Linked DNA regions of Stegostoma tigrinum. The protein of the gene in region 2 binds, or shares a complex with, the protein of the main gene of each other region. Links are inferred from orthologs where the notes say so. Each region holds a gene or a part of one and is shown on either strand. Other genes may lie near its edges. The genes, in order: fgf19 and beta-klotho-like.

Evidence for each region.
Region 1: the proteins of beta-klotho-like (region 2) and fgf19 are in contact, whole or in part, in a crystal structure (PDB 6NFJ), measured with the Homo sapiens proteins. The link is inferred for Stegostoma tigrinum from reciprocal best matches to the Homo sapiens genes KLB and FGF19. Residues at the interface, in NP_783864.1 of Homo sapiens: Phe379, Lys380, Val392, Leu394, Trp419, Phe420, Thr421, Asp422, Val425, Thr431, Tyr434, Met435, Asn438, Tyr643, Glu693, Arg696, His743, Asn824, Phe826, Met832, Gln848, Phe849, Leu850, Gln851, Ile853, Leu862, Phe931, Phe942; in NP_005108.1 of Homo sapiens: Leu192, Thr194, Asp195, Ser196, Met197, Pro199, Phe200, Leu202, Val203, Thr204, Ser211, Pro212, Ser213.

What each region holds. Positions count from the first base shown.
Region 1 is NC_081370.1:61,786,626-61,802,420, forward strand, and holds fgf19 (fibroblast growth factor 19), read right to left. Parts: upstream 8,850-15,795; 5' UTR 8,736-8,849; coding exon 8,444-8,735; intron 7,165-8,443; coding exon 7,061-7,164; intron 4,328-7,060; coding exon 4,028-4,327; 3' UTR 2,582-4,027; downstream 1-2,581. UniProt on the Homo sapiens protein: Involved in the suppression of bile acid biosynthesis through down-regulation of CYP7A1 expression, following positive regulation of the JNK and ERK1/2 cascades. Stimulates glucose uptake in adipocytes. Activity requires the presence of KLB and FGFR4.
Region 2 is NC_081354.1:98,355,183-98,371,173, forward strand, and holds the start of beta-klotho-like, read left to right. Parts: upstream 1-10,119; 5' UTR 10,120-10,208; coding exon 10,209-10,961; intron 10,962-15,991.

The DNA.
Region 1 (15,795 bases), on a different chromosome or scaffold from region 2:
CCAGGCAACATCCTGGTGAACCTCCTCTGCACCCTCTCCAAAGCATCCACATCCTTTTGGTAATGTGGTGACCAGAACTGTACGCAGTACTCTAAATGTGGCTGAACCAAAGTCCTATACAACCGTAACATGACCTGCCAATGAAGGAAAGCATGCCATATGCCTTCTTGAGCAGTCTATTGAGCTGAGCTGCCACCTTCAGGGATCAATGGACCTGAACACCCAGATCTCTCTGAACATCAATTTTCTGCAGGACTTTTCCATTTACTGTATAGTTTGCTCTTTAATTAGATCTTCCAAAATGCATCACCTCATTTTTGCCAGGATTGAACTCCATCTGCCATTTTTCCGTCCAACTCTCCAGTCTATCTATATTCTGCTGTAATCTCTGACAGCCCCCTTCACTATCTGCTACTTCGCCAATCTTCGTGTCATCAACAAATTTGCTAATCAGACCACCTCGACCTTCCTCCAAATCATTTACGTACATCACAAACAGCAGTGGCCCCAGCGCAGATCCCTGTGGAACACCACTGGTCACAGGTCTCCAATTTGAGAAACCCCCACCTCTCTGACTCCTGTTGCCTAGACAGTTTTTAGTCCACCTAGCTAGTACACCCTGAACTTCATGCAACTTCACTTTCTGCCTACCATGGGGAACCTTATCAAATGCCTTATTGAAGTTACTATTCAGCTGTTCACACTTAATGATAGCACAACTGCCGATGCTGGTGTCAGAGTCAACGCAGTGTGGAGCTGGAGGAACACAGCAGGTTAGACAGCATCAGAGGAACAGGAAAGATAATGTTTTGAATTTGCACCCATCATGTTGAAGGGTATAAATCTGAAACATTGACTTTCCTGCTCCTCTGATGCTGTCTAACCTGCTGTGTTCCTCCAGCTCCACACTGTGTTGACACTTTACTCACACCATCTAATACTTCAGATCACCTGCATGGACTTATTATTCGGCATTCTACTCACACCATTTGTATGGTCTTTGGATGTCTCTGCCTTTGATCTCTCTGCCTATAAATTCTGTTTCTGTCTGAATCTCTCTCACTTCACCTCACCAAGGGGCTCTGCTCCAAAAGCTCGTGATTTCAAATGAACCTGCTTGATTGTAACCTGGTGTTCTGTGACTTCTGACTTTGTCCAGCAAGTCAAGCACCAGCACCTCCACTTCAGGGAGTTGTTTGAGGTAACAGTGGAGATACATTTATGGAGAAATCAGACAAGAACATGAGGGACAAGATAATAAAGAGTTAAACTGACAGATTGAGATGAGGAGAGATGGAGTGCACAGGACATAAGGATTGATAAACTGCTAGGGCTGGATGACACGTTTCTGTCCTGCACAGTCTGCATAATTTTATCTTGATAGTTTTGGATATAAACATTGCTAAACAAGCAATCCATGATTATCTCTGAGAAAAAGCTGGTAACTGTTTCGATCCACTATTGCTTGGTGCAATGAAGATCTTCTAATAGCTTTTAGAGACATGGACAATCTACAGTAGGCAACATTGGAGATATCCCACAAGCCTTGGCAAGAAAGATCTTCCAACAGCAGCATCCTCTCATGAGCCAACAGAGTCAGCATTGAGACATTGACTTGAAAGCAGCTCCATTGATTGGGACACATCATTCTCGAATGACACGGGTAAAGTTGGGTTTCCTTGTGGGAGAATCTAGGACGCAAGGGTATAATCTCAGAGTAGGGGTCATCCTTTCAAGAGAGAGATGAGGAGAACCTTCCTCTCTCAGAGCTTAGTGAATCGATGGAATTATTTACCACAGAGGAGTGTAGAGGTTGGGCCATAAAGTATATTAAAGGCTGAGAGAGACAGGTTTTCATCAGTAATGGAGTCAAGGGTTATGGGGAAAAGGGAGGAAAGTAATGTCGAGAATGATCAGATCAGCCATGATTCTACTGAATCACAGAATGGATCTGATAGGCAGAATGGCCTACTTCTGCTTTTACACCTTATGATCTCATTCAGGAAGATACTGAACACAGCATGAGACTTCATCAGAAGCATGCAGAGGTTAAGTTGAGGCTCAGACAGAATGCCCAAACCTCCAAAACAACAATGACTTCGAGTATTATGTGCCTGACTCATGGCAGAGCTGACACATTGCACATCCAGCCTGTTAGCTATTTCTGAACCAACTGGAAGAGGTATGGATGCAGGTTGTTCTCAAGCTCAAGGGCCCACCTCAGAAACATGACTCCCACAGTGCTGTTGGGGAGGAATTTGCAGGATTTGAACTCAATAACAGTGAAGGGATAGTGATATATTGCCAAGTCAGGGTGGTATTTGACCTAAAGAGCTTAGTAAATGATGTTGCCCTGATCTATCTGCTTTGTTGGTATTTTAATGATTGGTGCTTTTGAGAAGCTAATGGTTTGATGAACTCCAGTAGTGTGTCCTTTAAGTAGAATGAACAGTAGCCACTCTTTTAAAAATAATATAAGTAAAGAAATGCAGATAAATTGTTATGAAATTTTAGATACATTTTATTTTAATTCACAAAGACATGAATAATTTCTTATTGTTTATTCACAATTTGAGGTACAAAATAAAAACTATGAAAACCTGGCAGATTTATTTCATCTGTTGACACCAGCTATATTTTGCCTACTAAAATGGTCAATTAATTACATACCATTCAAGCCTTAACATTTACCTTCAAATAATTTGTTTGCTTTAATTCATTAATCATTCAAACAGAAAAAAATTAGCTTTCTATGAACACGGGTTCATTTGAACTGAATTACAAAAAAGTGGAAAATTGTATAAATATATGTACATAAATATAATAGCAAAATAGAAGGAACCACTGTATGCAATAAGTTAATTATAAATACCTTCAAATTGGTCAAGTGCTTGTTTATGTGAATTTGCAATCAACTTCCTTCATGCTAAACTCCTTCAAATTCAACAGGACAAACTTGTACATTTTGCAACAACAAATACTTGATGCATATTTGGTACTACAGTTCCAGTTTATGAACTTTTTTTGTTTCGAGAGTTATTTTGTGATTGTCCTAGTAATGGGACCAGATCTGTAACATTTGGAACCCTCTCTTCCAATGGTGCACTGGAGTTGTACATTTCATCCTGAATATCAGCCCCCAGAAGCCTCATCTTAATGAGCTGATAGCGCATAAATTGTCTTCTTCATCAACTCAAGCAGGACACAATTTAAATCGAGCTCAGCAATTAGTTGAAAAATGTTAAATTTTGCTTCCAAATCCTCTTCCTATAAAGGTTTTAACTGGACCCTAGCTCCTCAGGTGTAATTCAAATCTCTATCTCCAAACTTCTTTCTTAAATAAAGATAGTTTAAACTGCATTCTATCCTCTCATATAGGAGACAAGAGTCATAGAGATGGAAAAATCAAAACAGGCCCTTTGGTCCAACTCATCCACGCTGACCAGATATCCTAAATTAATCTAGTCCCATTTACCAGCATTTGGCTCATGTCCCTCTAAACCCTTCCTGTTCAACTGAACCTATAATTGTTCTTCCTACTTAGTTTCTTTTGTCCTGCATCTCATGATAAGGATATACACAGATCCCTCTATTCTCAATAGAATGGGGATTTATACTATTTACCTTGTATCCTAAATCTTACAATAAGGTTAATGCTACTTTCTCCATGTTTCATCTGGTTTTACCCTGAACCTTCTATTTTCTATAATACATCAGGGTTCCTATGCTCTGCATCCGTTCTCTCAGTGGAGTTGCATTTTACACAAGTCTATAACATTGCCTCTAATGTTGCTCTATCTACAATCAGTCAATAATTCACCTGCTTCGCAGTTACATATTTATAATAAGAATCAATTCATTCAAGGTGACACTCAAACTGTTTCTTTTTAATCTCGAGAGTGACGAAGAGAGTCCTCACAATCAAACACTGTCTGTCACCTCTTCAACACAGCAGGACAACTGAGGACAAAGCAATTCAGTCCAAAGGAAAAGTGCAGTGCAGTCATGGGTCTGAAATACACCCAGTTCATGTGGCTTCGTACGTGAAGTCCAGGGGGTCCATGCTGTTGACCTGAATCACTGAAGACGGCAGTGAGTCAAGTTCAGGAGTGTCCCTGGACTGGTCCCCAGGGACTTGGGGGAGAGGCTGTGTGTTGCGGATGGGCAGGAACTGAGACAAGGGAGGGAATGCTCTGCCTCTTGTGTGGCCTCGCTGCCTCCTGTTGCTCAGGGACACAGCAGCTCCGTACTTTTCCGACCAATACAAATTGTAGGTGCCAGACAACAAGCGCTCCTTAAATGAGCAGTCAGCTTCATTGTAGGTCAGCTGGATGAGTGATAAAAACAAAAGGTCAGGTGGGAGGGAGAGGGGAATGGTGGTAATAAAAAAGAAGAGTGATTAGCTAATGTGGTTCCATGCTTCTTCGTGCTGACAGCTGACAATACTGGCGCCCGGGGCTACAAGTGTGGATCTACAGGTCACTGAACTCTGGGACATATAAACTAACCCCACAACAGACCAGCGGCCAACACAAGGGAACTACTCCAGAGAATAAGGCAACTGGTGAAATTACTGTTAAAGCGGCAACAACACACTACCATACACACACACTCCACCCCGAACACACACACACTCCCACTCACCACACCCCCACATACACTCCCAGACACATATACACACATGCTCTCTCTAGCACATACACTCCCACTCACCACACACACACACTCCCAAACACACTCCCACTCAGCACAACCCCACACACATTCCCAGATCCACTCCCACTCACCACAACCCCACACACATTCGCATATACACACACTCCCACTCACCATAACCCCACACACATTCCCAGATCCACTCCCACTCACCACAACCCCTCACACACTCCCAGACCCACTCCCACTCACCACATCCACACACACACACTCCCACTCACCACACCACACGTACACTCCCAGACACATACATTCACACACTCCCCCCAACACACACACTCCCACTCTCCACATCCCCACACACACTCCCAGACTCACTCCCACTGATCACAACTGCCCACCCCACATCCAAACATACTCCCACTCACCACATCCCCATACACGCTCACACATACACACAGTCCCACTCACCACATCCCCACACACACTCCCAGACCGACTCCCACTCACCACACCTCCACACACACTCCCAAATACACACACACACTCGCATATACACACACTCCCACTCACCACACCTCCACACACACTCCCAAATACACACACACACTCGCATATACACACACTCCCACTCACCACAACCCCACACACACTCCCAGATTCCCACTCACCACTTCCCTGCACCCACACACACCCATACAAGCACACACTCATCACATCCCCTCACACACAGTCACATAAGCCTTACAACCATAAGAGATAGGAAGAGAAATTAGGCCCTTCAGCTCATTGAGTTTGCTCCACCATTCAATTATGATAAGTTTCTGAATCCCATTTTCCTGCTTTCTCCGCTTGACCTTGATTCCATTGACAGTCAAGAGCTTATCTGTCTCTGTAGTAAATATACTCAATGACCTGGCCTCCACAGCCTTCTGTGGCAGTGAATTCCATAGATTCACCACTCTCTGGCTGAAGAAGTTTCTTCTTATCTCGGTTCTAAAAGGTCTTCCCTTTACTCTAAGGCTGTGCCCTCGGGTCCCAGTCTCTCCTACCAATGGAAACATGTTCCAACATCCACTCTGTCCATGCTATTCAGTATTCTGTAAGTTTCAATTAGATCCCCCTCTCATCCTTTTCAACTCCATCCAGTTTAGACCCAGGCTTCACACATTTCTCATAACACACGCACATGCACTCACCATACCCCAACACACACAAACACAGACCCACGCTCACCCACACAAACATAGCCACAGACACAGATGCACACGGACCCATATTATCAGACACACATTAGACTCACACATACAGACTCACACTCAAACACAGCCCACACCCAAACACAGAACCCCGCCACATAGGTCTCCACATGCACAGACTCATCCAAACACACTCACACATAGAGCCCACATACACCCACAGATGCACAGCCCCATCCACAAACACACACATACACACACACACCCATAGCCCCATCCACGCGCACACACACACCCCACAGACCCATCCACACACACACAAAAACCCCCCACAGACCCATCCACACACACACACACACACACACACAAACCCCCCACAGACCCATCCACACACACACACACACACACACACACACACACACACACACACAAACCCCCCACAGACCCATCCACACACACACACACAAACCCCCTCAGACCCATCCACACACACACACACACACAAACACCCCACAGACCCATCCACCCACACACATACACAAACCGCCCACAGACCCATCCACACACACACACACACAAACCCCCCACAGACCCATCCACCCACACACACACACACACACACACACACACAAACCCCCCACAGACCCATCCACACACACACACACAAATCCCCCACAGACCCATCCACACACACACACACACAAACCCCCCACAGACCCATCCACACACACACACTAACACACACACACACAAACCCCCCACAGACCCATCCACACACACACAAACCCCCCACAGACCCATCCACACAATACACACACACACAAACCCCCCACAGACCCATCCACACACACACACACACACACAAACCCCCAGAGACCCATCCACACACACACACACACACACACACACACACACATACAAACACCCCACAGACCCATCCACACACACACACACAAACCCCCCACAGACCCATCCACACACACATATATATATATACACACACACACAAACCCCCCACAGACCCATCCGCACACACACACACAAACCCCCCACAGACCCATCCACACGTATACACACACACACACACACACACAAGCAGTCTCCAAAGGCTCATCCACACACACACACGAGAGCCGACCTCTCCCTCTCCCAGTGCACTGTGGGCGAATCCCGGAAAGTGCTGGGGCTTCCGGGTGAGGACTTACCGATCCGAGTAGCCTGCCGTCCCTCTCCATGCACAGGTAGCGGCCGCTCAGGTAGCCTTTGATGGCCACTACGCCCGGGGCTACCGCCCTCATCTCCAGGAGACCTGCAAGGGAAACAGCACGGGGTCAGCGGGACGTTCAAACCCGGGCCAGGTCTGGAATAGACTATGATATGACTTTTTAAACAAAGCAGGTCCAACGTTCAGAGCACAGCGCTGAGGGAGAGGAGCCTCTGCCTGCTAGGGAAGAGTTACAGGGCTTGGTGAAACTCACTGCCACATGCAGTTCTCCCCTGGCCTGTGGAAACACGCACCTCGCTCACTGCGGGGGCCCCTCTTTGAGAAATAGTGGACCGACGGTCACCCTGCGGGAATTCTCTGCCACAGAACACAACTGGGATCAAAACAGTGAATGTTTCCGGAAGGGTTTGTAGATAATTCTCAGGGCTAAAGGGATCAAAGGAAATGGGGTCGGGGGGTGTAAACAGGCTAGAGGGGCCGAATGGCCTCCACCTGCACCTATTTTCTATATTTCTATGTATTAGGGGAAGGGGGGGAGTTGGACAGAGATGCCTGGAGATCAGTCCCGCAGCACTCAGTTCCCTCACTCCGCCACGAAAGGCCTCCTGAGGGACTCTCACCCTTGAATCAATGGCAGAAACGAACTCGGTGACTGATGTTTAATAAAACCAAAACTTTACGTTGGTCTGGCGAACATTAAATTCGCTCCCAAACTCCACCCCGGTTTGCTGAAGCCAGTTCCCAATCAGGTGGGAATTTATTCTCCCCCTCTCTCTGATAAGTCTGGGACTCAGTGAGGAACACATACACTCAAACACGCAACTGCTGGAGAATCTCGGCGCGCCCGGCAGCTGGACAGACAGGAGCTGGGTGAATGTTTCGGATCCATTGCTTCAGAAGAAGGGTCACTCACTGAATCCGCATTGTTTCTCCCTCCTCAGATGCTGCCAGATCTGCAGAGTTTCACGAGCACATTCTGTTTTTCTATTTGTTTGAGAGCTCTAGCATCTGCAGATCTTTGACTTAATTCAGTAACACAGCCCTCTCCCCCTACCCCCACTAAGTGAGCCCCATGAGGTACAGTGAGTGTGAGAAAGTGAATGACTGTGTGTGAACAAGTGAGTAGGTGATCGAGAGTGAGAGTAAATGAGTGAGCGACAATGACCGTGAATAACTGCGTGTGTGTGAATGAGTGAGCGTGAAATTGTGTGGATGAATGATTGTGAAAGTGTGTGTGCGAGTGAATGTGTGTGAGCGATAATGAATGACTGTGAACGAATGAGAATGTATGAAAGTGAACGTGTGAAACAGAATGAATGAGTAAAGTGAGGGTGGGAGAGGATGAAGCAAGCTGCAGACTCACTGTATAGGCTCCGCTCCCCGCTGCCGCCCACTGTGCCGTCCTGGTTAATCTGTAAATGCCAGCTGCTGGCGCCTCCCTTGCTGTGCTCGGTGTACAGGTACAGAAAGCGGATCGTCTGCTCCCAGCCCGAGTCTAAGTGTGGGCCCGAGTCCGGGGATGCGAGCGGCTGTGCTGCCGACCCCCAAACCAGGCTCAGCTGGGTTAGGAGCAGGAGCCAGCTGGCCGTTCGCCCCGTCCTGTAGCGGGCTAGCCGGCGATGGGCTAGCTCCGGGAAACCCCAGACAGTAGACATTGATGTAGGCAAAGAGAGATTCAGGCAGGTTCTCCTCTCTCTGTGTGTGTCTCTGATCAGACAGACCTAGGGGCGCAGCCTTTTAAAGGGATCATTGCTTATCAGCAACATCGATACGCCTGCTCCCAAAAGAATTATTTGAAACTCGGTCATAATAGTATTTCTTTTAAAATGCCCGCCCACTCGTGTCTTGCATCACAGAAGCTCAGGGATATCCCAACCTTGAACACTGTGTGCGTGTGTGTGTGTATCTGCATGTGTGTGTCTGCGTGTGTGCATGGGTGTTTGTGTGTGTATGTCAGTGCGTGTGACTCTGTGTGAGTATGCATGTGTGTGTCTGTGTGTGTCGGTGTGTGTGTCTGTGTGTCGGTGTGTGTGCCTGTGTGTGTATGCGTGTATGTGTGTGTGTGTGTCTGTAAATGTCTATATTTGTGTATCTGTGTGTGTCTGTGTGCGTGTATCTCTCTGTGAGCGTGTTTAACCATCTGTGTGTGTGTGTGTTTAACAGTGCCCCAGCTTTATAACATTGTCATTCAGTGCGATTCTGAAACTAGGCTGCCCTGGGAATGGCCCCCACTCTAACAGAGACCCTGCATGGTCAGATCATTGCGGGAAACACACCTCACGGAATTAGGAAGCGGTGATGAACCGGTCTTTGGGGAAGTCAGTATTTAATGAGGATTTGAGTCTGTGCACCGGAAGAAAACAGAGCTTTTCAGGCAAATACATCAGCGGGAAGGAAACCCAAAATTTTCCATTGTTTCGGCTCCTGTATTGTTCAGGACGATCCTAGCTCCGGCCGAGAACTTAGAAGGGTGTCTTGCTTTGCAGGAAAATGTTGTGGGGTTATGTTTAGGAGGAATTCTTAGTCTCAGTGGGATTTGCCAGCTAAAGCCGGCTGAGGGCACTCTCGCATCACAGACAGCTCCGAGGCAACGATCCGGCCGGTGCTAACAAAACCCCTGAGATGGTGCGAAAAGATGAAAGAGGTTAAGAGGCAACGATCTGCTTTGCATCTCTCCTGGCACATGCAGCAACGTTGTTAGACAGGGACCGGATTTCTTTTCCATGGTACTTCTCATCTCTGGGGGGATCCATTCCTTGTAAGTTTGATTGTTCCCTGGACCCTCAACCAGAGAGCATCAGGGCATTAAAGGCACGCTCCAAACAAAGGCTTTTTCGCAAATTGTGCGCTTACAAAAAGAAACCCACACTAGTGAACACTAGCAATACAAAGAAAAGCCAGTCATATTAAATGGCCAGAGCTCACTTTTTGTTTCATTTTCGCTGTCTTTCAGTTGCCTTTGATTCTTCTGTGTTTCTCTTTGATTTTTGGTCTTTGCTTTTCTGCCTCTTTGTTTTGATTTTCTCTGTCTCTGCCTCTTTGTTGGAGCCTCTTTTATCTTGCTGGCACCCTTCTCTGTTTACACAGACCATCTTGTTCATTCCGTGCCATTGATTTTTTTTCCCCTTCCGCTTGACCATTCTGTGCATCTGTCTCCAAAACCTGTCTCCCGTTTGCCTCAGTATTTGCTCCCTCGGATTCCCTCCTGAGTTCCTGCCTCAACCATCCATCAACTGGCCTCCTCCTGCTCTGCCGAGGTTTTGTTCACTCTTTGAAAACCTGGTCAGCCCAGGATCAGTTGCTATTTCTCTGTCCAAACAGATTCACTCTTTTGAAGACTGTTGCAGACTATCATTCCTTATCTATCTCAGGCTATCTTCCCTTCAGGCAGCTCCCTATCATAGACAAATCCCCTTTAAATCCCCAACTACTCCTGGTTTCAGAAGAATTTATTGATAATTGGGGCAGAATTCATTGAAATTTAGGACATCCTGCTTAGGATGCATAATAAATAGTTAATTTTAAATAGTTTTAATTAAGTAACGGCTCAGAGCACTTGCAAATATTTTGCACCGTCATAAATTTCACTTCCACTCTTTTTAAAAAAATGTTTTTTCTCCATTTTTGCTCCCCTTCATTCTTCTGGTATACAAGTCTATCCAAGTGTTGTCATCCTGGGGTGCATGTGGCCACACTTCACATTTGAACCTTAGCACATAGAAATGTCATTGCAGTTACAAGGCAGAAACAGGTCTTCCTGGTCAAGTAGTCCTTTTCAGAGATAACTTCCAAACAAGCAAAGCAGTTTAATCACATTTAGCCACTCTGTTTACATCTGCCTTTTCAATAATCCACCATTCAATCTCATCTTGAATTTGACTGATTGTCAAGAATCTACCAAACCTGCATATCTTTGGAGTGTGGGAGGAAACCTGTGCACCCAGAGGAAACCCACACCGACACAGGGACAGTCACCAGAGGGTGGAATCAAACGCAGGCCCCTGGTGCTGTGAGGCAGTGGTGCTAACCACTAAGCCACCCTTTGAGCCAACAATGCATTTTAACGTTCATAGCTTAGCCTTACTTCTGAGGCCAGCAGCACTTACATAATCTTACTCCCACATGGAAAGGACAAATTAAAGAATGAGATAAAAACACTTTGAAGTGAATGTACCCCTTTGGCATTTAATGGTGTTACCATCACTGAATCACCCACTGTCAGCATCCTGGGGGTTACTATTGACCAGAAACTCAACTGGGCCAGCCATAGAAATGCTGTGGCTTCAATAGCAGGTCAGAGGCTAGGAATCCTGCATTGAGTAACTCACTTCATGACTCTCCAAAGCCTGTTGACCATTTAGAAGGCATAAGTCAGAAGTGCAATGAAATACTGTCCTGGATGAGTGCAGCTTCAACAACACTCAAGGAGTTTGACACCGTCCAGGACAAAGCAGCCAACTTGATTGGCACCAAATCCACAAACATCCACTCTCTCCACCAGTGATGTTCAGCAGCAGCAGTGTGTACCATCTACCAGTTGCTCTACAGAAATTCATTAACTCTCTTTAGACTGCACCTTTGAGAGTGACAACCACTTCCACACAGAAGGACAAGGTCAGTAGATACATGGGGAAGCCATCACCCACAAGTTCCCTTCCAAGCCACTCACTATCCTGAGTTGGGAAATATAACACCATTCCTTCAGTGTCAAATGCTGGAATACTGTCCATAACAGCATTCTGGGTCAGGTGTCTATGAGGGGGCCCTCGCTCTTTCCCTTGGGGATGTGGGGTGGAGGGTGCTGCATGTAGCAGTCCCTTGTAACTGCAGATTGCAGTGGTTCACTGCCTAATTGCTTGCTCTGCAGTATTGTAGAGTCCGTGGACCGTGTGCATATTGGTTATGAGCATTTGCACTCCCTTTTCAGTTACTTAAAGAGCCTTTTGGTATGCTTTTGGTTGCAGTTCAACCCCACGCTCCTGACCTTTGGGCACTCATGGGAAGGGGTGCAGGCAGTTAGGGCGATCTCCTCGTAGGACTGTTCTGGGGCTTGGCCAGGCTGGCATTGAACAGATCCATGCAGTGGGCTGTGGAGGGGGTTATTTCAGCTGACTGCCTGTCCATTTTCCATGGTGTCTCCTTGGAAACTGAGCACGTGTCCACCATAGATTTTGATGCCTTTAGGAAAAGGAGGGCACCACAGGGGATAGAGTGGTTTATTTCCCCATTTGGCTCTATTTTGATTTAATCCCTACCCTCCCCTTCAATTTCTTCACCTAAGTACTGCTTGGTGTTTGCTTGCTACTGGTTCCCTGGCCATATGGGTGTTTTCCTGGTGATGGAAATATTGAACAAAGTCTTTTGTACATGGTATCTTCACTGAGTCCCTGCACTTACACGCACACAACACGGGCACTGTGGGAAAAAAACAGTATTCCAGATTGGGACTGCCTCTGTTGGTACTTGAGCATGGTTGTCTTAAGTGAATAGAATGCACCATACAATTCTCAGCACATTACATCACTGTCATTTGTAAATGTTTGACATTGTACATTTCAATGGTTTGTCTTCAACAATGAACTGAAGTATATTGCATACAGTCAACTTCACCAGTTACACTATTAAATATGTAGGAATCTTCAGAGGACCACAAAAATTTGGCATTGTGGATGCTTTGCATAGTAAACACTGATTGTCTTTAAAATTACTCTACCTTGAGGTCAGTTTGTGGGAACCATACCATTTCTTTAATGAGTAGTTTGTTTTTGGCAATTACCTGGTAACTTTCATGGTTTTAATGACAACACATTCCCTCGATGAACACAAAATGACAATGTGTGTTACATGAGATCAGATCTGGCTGTAATGGTGAGCTCAATTTGGACATTGTGCAAGACCTTGTTGATTGTAAGAAAGTTTGTTTGTAAACACATCTCAGTCAGGTCTTTCCAGTTTTATCATTCCATAGTCATCACGCATAGTTGTAATGCTGTCTTTTTTGTTGTTATCACTTTGAAGTCAGGTAATTTTAGTGACATTGACACATCATTTAGATTTTTGAAGTTAAGTTGCTATTTGGCACACTCCTTCATGACTACTAAGGCTGACTGTTGTTAACAGATGCTGTGAAACACATGGAAATTGACCTTTCGTAGCTTCAGTGTCCAAAACTCTACGACTGGCTGGTTTGTGTGTAGAATGTTGAGCAATCTCTTATTGTTGGGTATTATTTCAAACCCCATTTCCATACATTGAAAATGATTTTGTCACTTTTTAAATTCACTTCTGGACTTGCCCTGGCTAGGCCAATATTTATTGCTGCCTCTCATTGCCCTTGACAAGAAGGTGATGAGATGCTTCTTGAACTGCTAGCCTCCACTCGTTTTGTGAATAACATTGCTCAAAAAAAAAATTCTGAATCTTCTTGCCATTGCAATGATTTATCAGTTACCTCCCTTGTCTTTCTGCAAGAGAATTGCACCCAAGCTAACCAGATTTATACCCATGACTGAGTGATATTCTCAGGGTCAAATTAAATGGTCATGTAACTTGCTGACAACTACTTTTTATCTGCAATATAGCCTTTGTGTGTGGTTTAGTCCAGTGCTCCTGATTATTTTTCTCAGATTGTGTATGGGTGGAGGGGAGGGGGTGTGGGTACTAGTAGCAAGGGCGGTTGTGGGGCTGATGATGCAGTGAACTCTCCAGAAATGGAATAACAAAAGTATGTGATGAGTTCTAACATTCTAAGGAATTCCTGCATATTTGAAGGATCTGCAGCATTTGCAATAGCTTCAAATTTCCACAGACCAGGTGACATTCCCTCACAGCTGAGCAAGTGACTGAAGAATTCAATTCTGCTTCAATTGAACAAGTAGCTGCATGAAACTTGAGCATGTAATATTATATTTCCCAATCTGTTTAGGAAGTATTTACATTTGAAGCAAAATTTAGACTTGATAGATGTGTGCAAAATTATCAGAGGTATAGACAGAGTGGACAGCCAGAGACCTTTCCCTTGGATGGAGGTAGCTATTACAAGGGGGCATAGTTTTAAAGTGAGTAGAGGTAGATATAGGGGAGACGTCAGAAGTAGGTTCTCTACTCAGAGAGTGGTCGGGCATGGAATGCATTGCCGGAGAGGGTAGTGCAGTCGACCTCATTAGGGCCATTTATGCAGCTGTTACATAGACATATGGATGATAGTATAAGGTAGGGGTGGAGGTTAGATAGACCTTAGGTTTAGGGTAAAAGTTCGGCACAACATTGTGGGCCAAAGGGCCTGTACCATGCTGTACTGTTCTGTGTTTTATGTTCTATATTTCAAATAGAACAAACCAGAAGCTAACATCATTTCCTATCCCATTTTACATTGATTAGAAATCTACTGCAACTAAAAACAACTTGCAATTATATAGTGCCCTTTGGAACTTTAAGACATCCCAAACTTATGGTAAATCATATATTTTGAAGTGTAATCGCTTGGGTAAAGTACAAAAACATTTGGACAGATTTTCTTTTTGGTTGCTTTCTTCACACTTGCAGTTGTTGCGAGCAAATTCTTCAAAATGAGCTATAAACCTTATTGGATTGTTTTAAAATACTGACTGGCCAAATACAGTTCTTCAGAGAAGTGGATCTGCCATTTCTGCACTTGGTGTGGCTAGTGTATAATTTGAAATTTACGTGTAATGGTTTCATTTAAATGCATTTTAAATTATTTCATGCCAATCTTTATTTTGGAGTGATTAGAAACAGGCAACATCGAAGTAGCCACTGGAAATGAGAATGGCAAACTCAGCCCTGTTGACACTGAAACTTCCTCCTTATCAACACCCATGGTATCGTACCACAATTGGAAGAGTTATAGAATTATATAGTCATAGAGATGTACAGCACAGAAACTGACCCTTTGGTCCAACTCAGCTATGCCAACCAGATATCCTCAATTCATTTAGTCCCATTTGCCAGCATTTGGCCCATATCCCTCTAAATCCTTCTTTGTTCTGTACCCATTCAGATGTCTTTTAAATCTTGTAACTGTACCGGCCTCCACCAATTCCTCTGGCAGCTCATTCCATACACTCACCTACATCTGTGTGAAAAAGTTACCCCTCAGGTCCATGTTAAATCTTTCCCTTTTCACCTTAAACTTATGCCCTCTGGTTTTGGACTTCCCTAGCCTGGGTAAAATACATTGAGTATTTACCCTTTTCATGCCCCTCACTATTTTATAAACTTCTATAAGGTTGCCCCCTCAGCTTCTGATGCTCCAGGAAAATAGCCCCCCTTTATTCTGCCTCTCCCTATAGCTCAAACCCTCCAGTCCTGGAAATATCTTTGTAAATCTTTTCTGAACCCTTTCAAATTTAACAATATCTTTCCTATAGCCGACAGAACAGAACTGAAAACAGTATTCCAGTTGTCCCACAGACAAGCTAAGGAAGAGCCTGACATAGCTATATTCACAGAATCATGCTTTACAGACAATATCCCAGACGACACTATCATCACCCCGGATGTGTCAGGAAGTGTCAGTGGTATTGTCACTGAACTAGCAATGGGGACATTCACTGATTGCACCAAGTTTTGCATCCTTCACCATTCCTTTGATACTGAAGTAGCCTTTTGCCAAATGCAGTGAAACCTGGAGGATATCCATGGTAATAAAATGTGAGGCTGGATGAACACAGCAGGCCCAGCAGCATCTCAGGA
Region 2 (15,991 bases):
GTGAGAGTGACTGCCCTGGATGTTACACTTGACCAAGCATGGTATCAAGGAGCCCTTGCATAACTAGAGTCAATTGAAATCAGGGGGAAATGTCTACTAGTTAAAGCCAAAATAAGATGGTTGTGGCTGATAGATGTTGGTCATCTGAGCTCTAGGACATCTCTGCAGGTGTTCCTCAGGGTAGTGTCCCAGGTCCAACCAGCTTAATCTGCTTCATCAATGACCTTTCTTCCATCATAAGGTCAGAACTGGGGATGCTCGCTGATGATTGCACAATGTTCAGCACCACTCGCAGGTCCTCAGATACTGAAGCAGTCTGTGTTCATTTGCAGCGAGACCTGGACACTATCTCAGTTTGGGCTGATAACTGGCAAATAACGTTCACACTACATAAGTGCCAGGCAATGACCAAATTCAACAAGAGAGAATTTTACTATCATCCCTTAACAGTCACCAATTATCAACATTGTGAGGTATACCGTTGATTAGAAACTGAACTGAACTAGCCGTATAAATAGAGTGACTACAAGAACAACTAAAAAAATCAATTTAAGAAGAAAACAAACATTTATACTATATGAATGGAAATTGCTGATTGGTTGGCAAGTGGGCTTTGATAGATTGAGGTGTTGAATACAGCCACGATATTGAACCAGTTAATGATGATTGATAGTTATCTGCCAGCCTTCCTTTAAATTTTAAACTAGGAAGGTCAAGGCATTGCCCTGAGAAATTAACCATTGAATGGGCTGTCACCTATTTTGTTGAGTTAAAACTGTGTGTGTGTGTGCATTAATATATGTAGCTTCCAGTACATACAAGTGCACCACACTGTGAACAAGATTGACAATTCTAAATTGCTCAGCAGTGTAATGCCACGCTCATTCAAGATTATCCAAGACATATTGTCAAAGTATGGAATCATATCTGAGGCCTTAAACAGATCTCAGAGGTCCACTCAATAGCAGGAGAAATTACAGGAAATATAGGTGCAGCTCTCAACATCCAACAGAATACAGCCTCACCCCTCCTCATAGCACATTTCTGATCTACTAGCCAAATACTTTTGCACTTTATTGCACTTTGGAGTGCACCAGTTCCTTTCTTTGGAATACTATTACCAGGATACTTTATGCACAGAGACAGGCACCAGTCATGGATTGGACCAGTGTGCATCTCAGGGATACTCACTTGCCCTCTTACTTCTTACTCACTTGTGCCTAATCAGATGGTCAGAACATTTCTGCCCTGCTTTGCCTCCTCTGCTACACCTTGAAGGTTCACAATGCTTCGTGCTTGACCTGCTGTTTGGAGCAGACACAAAGCCAGGCAGTTTGTCATGGTTGTCAGCAATGAATAGTCAAGACAGTAGACATTTTGTAGTGCATAACTGTGCTATGCCATTTTACCTAGCACCATGCCAGCATCATATATGGCAAATACACTGCGTGTATATCAACAAAATGGCCATGTTTCAAAATCTATGTGGAATGCTCCTCAGTCATGTCAAGGAAGACAGTCTTCAGAGTAAGGAGTAAAAGTAAGTCAAGAGCATCATCTCATATCAGTCCAGGGCTGGACATGCTCAGCCTGCTTGCTGGGACAGTCACAATCAGGGTGTCCCTATCACTAGTTTGAATGGGGATGCGAATGCTGCCTAGAGATGTTGATGACTGCAGTCTAAGATGAAGACCCAGAGAAGCCATCGGCAAAGTGGCGTCACCAGATAACCCCTCTGACCTACAAATCGGATATTGTCACATCTAGTCTTTTATCTGGAGGGTAGAGAATGGAAACTGCATATCAACAAGTCAAGAAGGACTAATAATGATGAACTAATAAGCATTCGAACGTACAAATCACATGTAACACTTGTTTGGAAAGTGGAACGTTTTTCTTTCAATATGAGAAACTACTTGCTGGCCATCTCATCTGATTTTCCAACTTTCTCCCCAGTACCCGTGTGTTTCAGTGCCTGGGAAGATTTCACCCAAAGTTTCTTTATGAAAAGATGACACCTAATTGGAGAAGACAATTGATATTGAAGAAGACTGCAACAAACTGTAGGACAGCATTAGTAAACCTGCCAAATATGGCAATAATTGAAGAAGAAGTTCAACCCAGATTAAATGTAGAACATTAGATTTTACAGGAGGATCATCAACTTGGTCAAAGATACTCTTTAGTGGTCCCAAAAGATGCCAGTCTTTGATTGCAAAGAGGATGATTGGCACGTTCCAAGTCCCAAAACTATGTGCTGAGGGATGCACTGAAACATGGTGCAGCCAAAAGACAAAATAGGGAAAGATCACTGCCTCAGGCTCTCTTATCATAATATATTCAGGGACTGAAAACTGTATATAAGACCACTCAGGCTGAAGCACTAGAAAATATTTGTCTTAGAAAGTGGTGTACATTGCAAAGATGGTCTGTAATTGCAAGGGCATTGAGCCAGCCTGATGTCGTGTGTTGAAAGAAACTGAACTATATTTCACATTATGTAATTTCAATTAAAATGTCAAATTTTTAAAAATCACAATGTTGTAACCTGGCTCTGGACAAGATTCCCCAACTTATTAGGGTTCCCCAATTTATTGGGGTTCCAGATGGGATATCTCAAATAATGGAGCTCCGAGGTCAGGAGAGATGAAATTCTTTATTCACCCACTTCCTCAGTTGACCACTACAAGTTTAATTTACAAAAAGATCCCCTCCTTTGTGGATACCTTTCTCCCAGACCAAATTAAAGTATGCTTTAAAAGGAGCCAATTTACCCACGCTTTTTTTGAGTTAACAACAGAGTAAGATTATTAGTTACTAAAAAAACAAGACGCAATACTAACATAACAATGTCATGTTGAGACTGTACAGGACATTGGTGAGGCCACTTTTGAAATACTGTATGCAATTCTGGTCTCCCTACTACAGGGAGGATGTTGTGAAGCTTGAAAGGGCTCAGAAAAGATTTACAAGAATGTTGCCAGAGTTGCAAGGTTTGAGCTATAGGGAGAGACTGAATAGGCTGGGGCTATTTTTCCTGGCACATCAGAGGCTGAGGGGTGACTTGTAAAGGTTTTTAAAATCATGAGGGTCATAGACAGGGTAAATAGCCAAGGTGTTTTCCCGGGGGTGGAGGAGTCCAAAACTAGAGGGCATAGATTACATATGATGCTGGGAAAAGATTTAAAAGGGATCTAAGGGGCAATTTTTTCACACAGAGGGAGGTATGTGTATGGAATGAGCTGCTAGAGGAAGTAGTGGAGACTGGTACAATTACAGCATTTAAATGCATCTGGATGGGTACATGAATAGGAAGGGTTTAAGAGGGATATGGGCCAAACGCTGGCATGGGACTAGATTTATTTGGGACGTTTGATTGGCATGGATGACTTGGACCGAAGGTTCTGTTTCCGTGCTGTTCATCTATATGCTTCTATGACTCAGTACACACACACACACACACACACACACACACACACACACACACACACACACACACACACACACACACTCAGATCAGTCTCTGAGTTGTTCGTGCGAACATTGTGGCCGTTGCAGTGTTTGGTACAGACAGTGTTGACATTGCCAATCAATATAAGATAGTCACTAACTATTCCAATAGGGAACTTAGAGGAACCTTTATTATCTGAAAAATGATGAGAATACAGACCTTGCCAACACAGGGAGTATTTTAAATGATTGGTTTGGACACATTTCCAGGCAAGATAGAGAAGTAAAAGAGTGAAGTGAATAATGGTTACGATGATAATGCAGGAAAATGGCACTAGCTGAGCAGGCACCATGGTCAGCAGGTACCAGCTTGGGCCGATGGCACTGTTTCCATGCTGTATTACACTATGACGCATTTAAATAAGCAAAGATGAAAGAAGTTTGGAATGGAGCATGAATATCAGCATAGGCTATTTGGGCTGAATTACCTGTTTATACGTTGTATATGCTTATAATCCTTATTACCGATCCTTCTCACATCCCTTATTGTCAATTTTCTTTGTAGGCTTCATGTATGATGAGAAAGAAACTTTTAAAAAATAGGTCAAATGGGAATGGAGAAATACATTTAATTTGCTATATTTCTGTTCTGCCTGTGTTTGTTTCATATTTTGCCTCTTTTGAAATTGCATGACAATTTTTAGTAAGGTTTTTTTTTCTCAAAAATACAATTAATACTTTTTAAAATTGTAACAAACAAAAACATGTTATTTCAACCCAACAGTTAAAATTAGTCTGGTTGAAAACATTAAGTTTTCCACCTGATCAAAGCCAGCTATAATAGATTTGTAAAAGATTGGTCAGCCTTGCCAAATCTGATTAAATGATTTGAAGAAGTACCTCGGTATTTGTCAAGGAAATGCCTACAAATTTCCGGATGGCATTTGATAAAAATGCTCACAATAGATGGTCTTTGTGAATGGAGATACATTTTCTCCTTCACTATTTACTCCACTAGTTTCCTTACTATTGATGTTAGACTCACAGGTCTGTAGTTTCCTAGACTATCTCTACCGTCCTTCCTGTAAAGTGGAACAACATTGGTTCTTCTCCAGCCCTCTAGTACCTCCCATGCCCATAAACATTCGGGTCAGGGATCTCTTGTTTCCCATAGCAGCCTGGGCTACAGCTCATTCGGACCTGGGGATTTGTCTCTTTTTAAATCGACCAAAACTTCTACTTTCTCACTTCTGCTCAAGAATTCCACATTCCATCTTCTTAAAGTCTGTATTTGCATCCTCTTTCTCCAGAGTAAAGACAGATGTCAAGTACTCATTTAATAATTTATCAATGTCTTCCAGCTTCATGCATAGACTTACCCTTGGTCCCTAATAGGTCCTTACTCTTTCTCAGATTATTCTTTTCTCTTTGACATATTTGAAGAATATCTTGGGATTCTTCCTGATCTTGCCCTCCAACACTTTCTCATGCCCCCTCTTTGCTTTCTTGAGTTCCTCCTATACTTTCTATACTCCTCTGTGGCCTCTGTTGAATTTTTTTCCCTTGTACCTGTTATATATCTGTCTTTTCTTTTCATCTGGTCTTGAATATTCCTAGACATCCAGGCTTCCCTGGGCTTATTGTTCTTACATTACATTCTAAAAGGCACATGTTGAGCCTGTACTCTCCCTAGTATTTGAAAGCCTCCCACTGTTCTGCCATAGATTTATGTACAATCTGACATAAAAAAACTCTCCAATATATACTTCAAGAAATCTGTACCCTCTAAACCCTTTATACAATGATTATCCCAATTAATATTGGGTAGACCATAAGACATAGGAGTAAGTAAGGCCATTCGGCCCATCAAGTCCACTCCACCATTTAAATCATGGCTGATGGGCATTTCAACTATATTTCCCTGCACTCTCCCCGTAGCCCTTGATTCCTTCTGAGATCAAGAATTTGTCGATCTCTGCCTTGAAGGCATCCAACGTCCCGGCCTCCACTGCACTCCGTGGCGATGAATTCCACAAGCCCACCACTCTCTGGCTGAAGAAATGTTGTCTCATTTCAGTTTTAAATTTACCCCCTCTAATTTTAAGGCTGTGCCCACAAGTCCTAGTCTCCCCGCCTAACGGAAACAACTTCCTAGCGTCCACCCCTTCTAAACCATACATTATCTTGTAAGCTTCTATTAGATCTCCCCTCAACCTTCTAAACTCTAATGAGTACAATCCCAGGATCCTTAGCCGTTCATCATACGTTAAACCTATCATTCCAGGGATCATCCCTGTAAATCTCCGCTGGACACGCTCCAGGGCTAGTATGTCCTTCCTGAGGTGTGGGGCCCAAAATTGGACACAGTATTCTAAATGGGGCCTGACTAGAGCTTTATAAAGCCTCGGAAGCACATTGCTGCTTTTATATTCCAACCCTCTTGAGATAAACGACAACATTACATTCGCTTTCTTAATTACGGACTCTACCTGCAAGAATCCCTAATGACTTGATCGATTTTTTTAAACTATTATGAAAAATACATAGGGTAGGTTAAAAGAGATTGTTTCCACTATTTTGGAAGTCTAAAATGATTCAGTTTAAAAATTAGCCTCAGGCATTTCAAGAGTAAATAACTCCTTTATGCAACACTAGCAACGATTTGGAAATTTCTTCTGCAAAGACCGATTAATCTGGAATCAATTATTAATTTCAGAACTGAGATTAATAGAGTTTACTAATGAAAGGTGTTAAGGGATTCGGGAAAAGGCAAACATATGGAGTTAAATCAGAGGTCAGCCACGGCCTCACTGAATGATGGAAAAGGTTTGAGGATTGAAATGGCTAATACGTGTCTCTAAGTTGCGAACAGTGAGACTGGTACATTCATTTTCTGTCTGCTCCTTTCACAAATGCACAGAAACCTGCATTAACTCTCTGTTTCAGGAAGTTCACTTTATCTTAATAAAGATATTGAGAATTTTTTTTAGCTCCTACTAGGGTTAGAACATTAGCAATAATTGAGTTAGAGTGAGAGAGGCTAAAGAGGGAAACAGAAAAAGGAAGAAAAAAAGAGATACTACGTTGTGTAACTTATTGTGTCCAACTTCCTTAATTATTCACCCTCTAAGACATGAGAAAATTTGAAGAGATTAAACAAATCTTTTTTGTCTCAACATACAAATTGCCTTAAATATGACTGATTCACTTTACTTTTCTCTTTATATGAGTCGCATTGTATAAACGGAACATGCAGGGTTGTTAGTGGAGAGGAAGTGGTACATCTACACGTATGAATTAGGAGCAACAGAGGTCATTCAGCCCCTTAAGCCTGCCCTGTCCTTTGACAAAATCATGGCTGATCCGACTGTGGCAGAATTGTGGCACTATCCTGCCTACTCCCTCCACACTTTGTCAATGAAGAAGTGACATAATTCATCTTTTAAAATATTCAGTGACCTGCCTCTATGGCTTTCTGCTTGGAGTTCAGTCCAGGGTCAAATAGGAATAAGAATGTCCTGGGGCTGCTGAAGTGGATGGGAAGGGGATGGAGTTGGGGAGCTAACATGGGACAAAGTTTGTTTTGGAGGCCGAAGGTAACCTTCTCACAATATTGAGTTGGAGGAAGCTATCATTCAAGCAGGATTTCATTATACAGACCATTTGATTGGATGTTTCTAACTGAGGCCTCAAAATATAATGTGGAAAGAAAGAGCTAGATATGATTAGCAAACTCTTGCCTGCAGATGATACCACAGATGAAATTTCCAAATCCACTTTGAATACACTTGTTGATTTCTTTAGAGCATCAATTCCTTCCATGCCTCCTGGTCTCATAGACCATTTCATTCCTGTGTGCAAAATCTCTTTTAGTGTTCCCAAAACCCAGCATTCACTAAAATAGCAGAAATATTCCCAAATACCAAAACCTCAGGGCAGCATAGTGACTCAGGAGTTAGCACTGCTACCTAAGAGCAGAAGGGACCCAGTTTCAATTCCAGCCTCAAGCAACTGTCTGTGTGGAGTTTGCACATTCTCTCTGCGTCTGCGTGGGCTTCCTCCAGGTGTTCCACAGTCTAAAGATCATAGATTGTTGAATCCCTACAGTGTGGAAACAGGGCCTTTGGACCAACAAGTCCACACCAACCCTCAGAGCATTCCACCAATACCCTTTCCCCATGACCCACCTAATCTACACGTCTCTGAACACTACAGGCAATTCAGATAGCCAATCCATCTAGCCTGCACATCTTTGGGCCGTGGGAGGAAACTGGAGCACCTGCAGGAAACCCACACAGACATGGGGAGAACGTACAAACTCCACACAGACAGTCACCCAAGGGTGGAATCAAACCTGGGTTCCTGGCGATCAGAGGCAGCAATGCTAACCACTGAGCCAGCATGCTGCCCCAAGTGCCATTCTAATTCTGGATTGGCCATTCTAAAATACTCATATGCAAGCTAGGCGGGTTAGCCATGGGAAATGCAGGGTTACAGGGATAGTAGGGGAGTGAGTCTGGGTGGGATGCTCTTTGGGGAGTCGGTGTGGACTTGTTGGGCTGGACGGCCAATTTCCACACTGTAGGGATTCTACATACTCTATATACCTCCATCACCAAGCTTAGGATCTCAACGGAGTGAGACCCAACCAGCAAGTCCTCATCATAGACTCGGTAACAGTGTCCATCATTTCAAAGTAACCTGTAACCAATTCCTAGTATGCAAAAGAAAATCAAACCTTGTTCAACACAAGAGCTCTGAAAATGAGACACAAAAGTGGTTTTCCTCTACCACACTAGACCAAGCAGGCCATGTAGATTCCTAAACTTAAAGATGATGGTAGCATCAAGCGTATTACATGTCAAGGTGCCTTGGTTTGACTGTACACACAACTACCTTCTGGATTAACTGTCCATGTAGAAGACGTTGAAAATAGGAGCAGGAACAGGCCATCCAGCCCTTACAGCTCCACCTTTCAACATGACCATGGCTGATTGTCTAAGTGGGTACCCTGCTCCTGCCTTCTCCCCCACACGCTTTGATTCCTATTGCCCTAAAAACTATATCTGACTTCTTTTTGAATATCTCTGAAGAAGCATCTTTTAATCTCATATCAGTTGACTTCCAACTTCCTGTATGCCCGACATGAATGAGTGAATGCACAGAAACTCACTGGGTTGTGTTCTCAATTCCCGTTATTGTCATTATCCAGATCAAGTTGTTCACGGATGTTATTACAGACTTCTGGAGCAGGGCCTCCTGGCTCAGTGATAGGGACACTATCACTCGCCCACAAGAACCCTGAATTCCTGTCCTAAGCTTATAATCGGCACATTCCTATACCAAGAATACAAGTTTGCATTAAAGACTCAGTAGAGCAACATGTATAAGAGTCAAAAAGAGATCTCAGAGTCAAACAAAACAGATAAAAGGTCAAAGGGAAGAGAGACTTAAGATTAGTAAAGCAGAGTCAATAAACTAAAATATTTGGGATATGTGACCCTCAGGCCTGATCTCCATCACATCCACTGCATTCTGGTAACAGTTCAGATGACAGTTCAATGGAACCATTCAAAGGCAGACCATATACTCAGTGGAGGGGCGGGACGGTGGCTCCGGTGCCTCAGTGGTTGTCACTGCTGCCTCACAGTGCCAGGGATCTGGGTGCAATTCTGCCCTCGGGTGACTGTCTGTGTGGAGTGTGCACATTCTCCCCGTGTCTGCATGGGTTTCCTTCAGGTAGTCTAGTTTCTTCCCATAGTCAAAACAATGTGCTGGCTAGGTGGATTGGCCATGCTAAATTGCCCGGAGTGTTCAGGGATTGGTCTGCATGGGTTGCTGTGTGGGTCAGTGTGGACTTGTTGGGCCAAAGGGCCTGTTTCCACATAGGGATTCCATGATTCTATGCAGTTGGGAAATTGCAATTGGTCATTTCGGGGGAAAAGCATCCACCAGCTTCTCAAGCCACATCAGAAGGTTTAATCAATAAGTCAATTAATGTATAGCAATTTTCAGGACAAAGATGTCAAATTCTGGAGTTTCCGGCAGTGCCAAGCAGGCTTCCCAGCTGCAGACAATCCCATCCACCCCTAAGTCATTTAAGATTTTTTTCAATTACCCCAACAGGTTCAGTGTTAAAGGACACTGGCAGATACAATCCTGGTGGATCTGTCAGCACTGTAGCTTGTGCACTTTCAGAATCTACGGTGACAATCAAAGAGAGAGAACAAAATATCGAGAGCACAGAACAAAAAAGAATTGATAGCGAAGAAAAGCAGAGAAACAATACAGAAAGAGATTGCACTTTGTTTGCACAAAATGTTAAGGGAGATCAATTATTGTGGGTGTAGGGAAAGGCTTCAGTGATCATATACAATGTACTAACACGCTTATGATTTCACAAGCTTCACTATGGGGTTCCATTAAGTTGACAGCTCGGTAAATAAAAAGACACATACAAAACAATACATTGTTAATTGCTTACATTACATGAATAGGGTATGTTTTTATCCAGTGTTGTTGTATATCTTATAAATAATGAATTCTGACACGAACCTATCCAATGTGCTGTTTCAGCAGCAATGTTTAAACAGTCCATAGCTAGGCGTCCTGAAGAAGCTAATCATTGACAGAGATCAGATATAACCACACACTTAAACTAGCGCTTGGTTCACTTTTAATGGAATCGGACGTGTGTCAGTTTTGTTTTGAACAAAAATGAACTGAATCAGGTGTGTTTTGGAACCCAGGCACACAGGATGAGTGACTGTGGGCTAAAGACACTTTTCATAGCTCTCTTTTTTCTTTATACTGGAGCCAATGTTACTGTTCAAGGAGATCCAGGGGCAGGAAAAGTTGTCTGGGGAAACAAATCGAGTCACAACGATATGAGGAACGGTGAGCTTTTCTTGTACGACACCTTTCCTAGAAACTTCATGTGGGGTGTGGGAAGTTCTGCATTTCAAATCGAAGGAGGTTGGAAGAAGGATGGCAAAGGACCTTCTGTCTGGGACAACTTTACCCACACTGAATACGTCAGATTTAACAATGCAACTGCAGATACTTCCAGTGACAGCTACACATTCTTCAATGAGGACTTGACGGCTCTCAAAAGCCTGGGAGTCACTTTTTATCTGTTCTCAATCTCCTGGCCCAGGCTATTTCCAAATGGATTGAAGGACTCTATCAATACCAAGGGTCTTCAGTACTACGACACGCTTATCAACTCCTTGTTAGAGAGAAAAATAACTCCCATTGTCACTCTCTACCACTGGGACCTGCCTTTGGCATTGCAAGAGCAGCACGGAGGCTGGAGCAGCAAGGCTATGATACAAATATTTAATGAATATGCTAAGTTCTGCTTTCAGGCATTTGGGGATCGTGTTAAGTTTTGGATCACAATTTACAATCCTTTCCTAATTGCCTGGCATGGATACAAAACTGGGAAATATCCCCCTGGATGGAAGGAGAAATCTGCAGCAATGTACACTGTAGGGCACAATTTGATTAAGGTAAACAAAATTGACATTTACTTTGTCATTTTTCCGATTAAATATTTTGGAAATTTTCTGAATTGCGCACAATGAAAGACATGCTATTGAAATTACTAGAGCACTGATTTTCAGAAATTTTAATCTGTTAATGAATCATTAATAATGGAGAATTGCATTCTTTCTCTTCCTTTTATAACGAAAACAGAAAGTGCTAGAGTTATTCAGCACATCTGTGGAGAGAGAGAAAGAAAATAAACATTTTGGATCAAATATGATATTCCTTCAGAGCACCGTGCAATTTCCAAATCCGTAGTATTCTTGTTTTTATTCTCCTGCTTTACACTGAAAAAATATTTTATCCCGGATGACAATTACATACTTTTTCACTTGCAGTCCACCTTTAATGTCCTCAGTCCACTTCAAGTGTGTCACTATTTTTCTCACATTTTTATTTTGTAAAGCAAACATGTATTTATTTCTTACTTTAATGGTGTTGCACGAATTCAAGGGGTTTCTCAACTCAAAGATTGAAATTGCTTATTCTGACTCACCTCTCTCAGCCTTTCATGATGGATAAGATGGGTCACTATATAAATACGAGTTATCCTTTGCAGGATGCCCTGACTCCAGATGAACATTAGTATTATGTAAAACGTTTCAAGATTTGTCTTGCGTAACTTCTAAGTTAAATAAGAAATGTTAATTAAATCGTTCATTATATAAAATTTAATTTCCAGATCTATCAATATTTATTTTACTGAAATTACTAAAAGCAGTCTACAGGGTCTGACAGGATTCTAAAGTGTTTCAAAACTGACTAAATTACAGCATGTGTGTCCAACCTTTGTTAAATTATACCTCATTCAGTTACTTAGCCTGGAATCTGTCTGGTGAGGAACACTAGTTGTGTAATATGAATTTTCTTTATTCTTTTGTGGGATGAGGTATCACAGCCTAGGCCAGCATTTATTGCTTATCCATATTTGCCCAGAGGATAATTAAGAATCAACTATATTGCTGTGGGTAGGCCAGACCAGGTATGCATGGCAGATTTCCTCCCCTGAAGGGCATTAGTGGACCAGATTCATTTCTTTTTACAACAATTGACAGTGGCTACATAATTGTCATTAGGCTCATTTTTAAACCTTGATCAAATTTCACCATCAGCCATGGCAGGATTTGAACCCATGTCCCCAGGACAAGACTCTGTATTATGAGTCCAGTGACCATCACCATTAGCCCAACCCCTCCCCAATGTCCCACTTACCAAATACATACCTTGGAGTAGCCAGGGAATAGTTACTACAAATTTGGAATGGGGCTTCTTTACACAGCACAACTGTGCATTCGATAACTCAATGGAAGTCGGTATCCCTCACCACGTCAACTTTTATTTACATATATGTAATACATGACACTGACCCAGCTAGCACACAGCCAGCTCCTAGAGTCAACAGTATCCCTGAGACTCCTGTTTATATCGTCAGCCAGGGTTCCCTGATTGAACCAGCTTAATAGCCCCAATCAGGGTACTGATATTCTATGAGATCCACTTGGGTAATCCTTTTACAATCACTATGTCCCTCCTCCTTTAAGTCCTGGACAAAGGCCTGTTCTTTTTCCTGTAACTTTTCCTGGGCCATTTTCCCACCAGGTCCAGTTCCTCCGATTGTACCTTGGAGACTCTCACCATGTACTAGACCATGGCCAGCCTCTTGCTCCTGGAGCATCTCAGAAGAAATTCATCTTTGTGTTCAGGTGGTAATGGTGTCAAGGCTCCATCTTGTCCTCAGAGGTTTCTTCAATGCTAGGTGGAGGAGAGAACCCAGAGGTTCTCATATTCTGCCAGATATTCTGAGGGGCTGGGAATGTTTTACCCTGATTCGTTTGCAAGGTTGCAGCTTTCATGTGGCCCATGTGCTTGTTCAGGACTTCCTCTCTGACCTGAACTTTGTACATCACATGACCTGACCTCATGTCAACCATGTCTCTTACCCATGCAGAGCCATTCCTGCTGTTTTAACACCAAACTTTGTCTCCTGAAGTAAATTGCCTCTCTCACTTAGAGGAATCCTGTGTATGGCATTGGTTTTCCTGATGCCATTTCACCACCCTCCACCCCACCAAAGTTGGGGAAGATCATTTTTAACCAAGTGGGGAGTCATCTTCCCATTGGCATCTCTACTGGAGCTGTCCCTGTAGTCGCGTGAGGGGTAAACAGGAACCGGGACAGTTTGGTACCAAGTGAACATGTAGACTGTTTCTTTAAGACTGCCTTCAAAGTTTGAACTGATCTTTCTGCCAGACCATTGAATGATGGATGATACGGAGCTGTCCTTACACACCAGATGCCATTGGACTTTAGGAAATACTCAAATTCCCGGCTGGTAAATGATCGCTTGTTGTCTGTACCCAACACCTCCGGGATTCTGTGTGTTGCAAAAGATGCTTGCAACTTTTCAATCGTCATCCGGTGTTTGACGAATGAATTTTGTACCCGTCCAACCCACTTTGAATGGGTTGAATGGCCTCCCAGGACACGTTCCAACATGTAACTGTACACACTCAGAATAAGAGCCCACTACTGAATTCAACCTGATTCTACGGGCGTCATGGCCCTGTTCGCTTTAAGTAGCCCTAACAAGGGTTTGTAGTCTGTCATTATTACAAATTTCTGTTCGCAATCGTATTGGTGAAACTTTCTCACATCAAAGACGACCCCCAAACCTTCCTTCTCTATCTGGGCCTATCTTTGTTCGGCATCAGCCAAAGTCCGGGAAGCATACGCTATTGGGCATTCCTCTTCGCTGGGCCATCGGTGAGCCACCACTGTCCCAATACCATACGGGGAGCATTGTGTGTCAGCTTGGGATCATAGTATACCAAAACTTTAGACAACGATAGCTGCTTCTTCATTTCCCTAAAAGCTACATCTTGGCCTCGAGACTATTTCCAAGGCTGATCCTTCTTCAATAGCAAATGTAACAGTGCCAGGACGGAGGCCATGTTAAGTATAAATTTTCCATAATAATTCATCAACCCCCTGCCTTAGAGAAACTTTTAAGCACTATGTCCAAGTTCTCTAAATGCTCTTTATTGGTCTTCCCAGTTTTTTGCATGTCATCCAGATAAATGGCACTTGGGGTGGACCTTGTAAAATGTTCTCCATCATCCCCTCGAAAATGATGCAGGCTGATGATACCCCAAAAAGCAGTCTCATATACCAGTACAAATCCTCATGGGTATTAATTGTAGCAGACAGCGTATAAGATTAACCTGGCTGGCCGCATTCCAATCACGACATGGCAGACTGGATATTTCCTATTTGAAAGTACTTTCATAATGGGTTATACAGAGGGTTTACTCTGGTCCTTTGATTTTGCAGCAGCATAATAATGAGCTGGAGGAGTGGGGACTCCTGTTCATTTTAAACTGCATCTTTTTCCTGGTATTTTCTTCCCACATTATCTGGGGTACAATTGTTGAGATGTGAAATAGGAGGAGCTTCCAATCACCAATCTCTGAGCCCTTCAAAAGTCCCAAACAGAAACTGACCACAATAGTAACTTATATCATTTTAAAATTTACAGAAATTTTCATTCCACATTTTAAGTTTTAAAAAAATCTAAAAGGTTGCTGCATCCATACAAACTTAAGTTTAGCTTATTGTTATTAATTACCGCTTAATATTTCCCATACGTCCAAAACAAAACTGTGTTACTCTGTGTTAATCATGTTTTCTCTTTCTTTATCTGCTCCTTTCCCCCTCAAAACTGTTGCATAACTTTTATCAATGGTTGAGAACTTTGCACAAGTGACACTCACCCTATAACCTTCCACAATATATCTTGTCTTGCTCGCTTCTCTGTAAAGCATTCCAGCTGCCAAGACAATTAACGTCTCCATTAAATAACAATTAAGGGACATAGAGAATGAGTACATGAGAGAATAAGTCCCAGTACAAGCCATCAATCATGTCAGGAGCAATGGTTCTTGGAATAGATAACAAAGTCTCACATGGACCACATATAATCCAAATTATAATTTGAACATTTATATACCAAGGAGAATTGTATGAAAGATGATAGGTATGAAAGTCCATAGTTATTCCTTGGGAGACCAACAAAACTACCACAAAATTTCACATCCCAAGTGCCTGGGTTATAACTTCTCCAAGTCAGTTGATAAAAAAAATTCTGCTGAATATGGAAATGAGCCATTAGACAAATTTCTGAAGGCGGTGTTATCAAAGGACATTAAGGAGAGAAATTATAGGAGATGATTGATGGCTCTGCACAGTTATGAACGCAGTTTTGAGCAGTTCGTGAGAAAGGTTGCCCAAAGGAACAATTTTAAAAGGATGAAAAAATTTGCCTTGATCACACTTCAGGGAATGCCAAAATGCTTTTAATCCAATGGGTTTTTGTTCTAAAGTGCAGCCATGTAATTTTGAAAGCATAAACAGGAAGTCAATATTCACATGGGAAGGTCTCATAAACAGTAAACCGAATGGGGAAAACTCCAAATACCAGAAACCCTAAATAAACGGAAATAACTGGAGACACACAGGGGCAGCCAATTCCTGCACAGCAAATAAAACAGATTATGACGGTTCAGGTACACAATTTCGGTGAATCGCCAACATTTTCTCTATTTGTCCCATAGGTGAGAGAAATGACGATTTAAACTGTTTTGTTTAGGGGTAATAGCTGTGGAAGAGTATAGTGAAATAGGACTGAACCTGCACAGCTTCACCAAGAGGAATCTGTTAGAATTCTTTGAGGAGGTAATGAGCCAGTTAGACAAAAGAGAGCAAGTGGACATGATCTATCTGGATTTCCAGAATGCTTGTGACAAGATACCGCACAGGAGGCTGTCAAATAACAAGTGTTGGGAGTGAAGTTCTGACAAGAATAGAGGATACAAATTTTTGGATCATTGTGGGATCTCTTCTGGGACAGATGTGACCACTACACAATTGGATGGGTTGCAGCTGAACTGGAGGGACCAATATTCTGGTGGGCAGATTTGCCACAGCTACCCAGCAG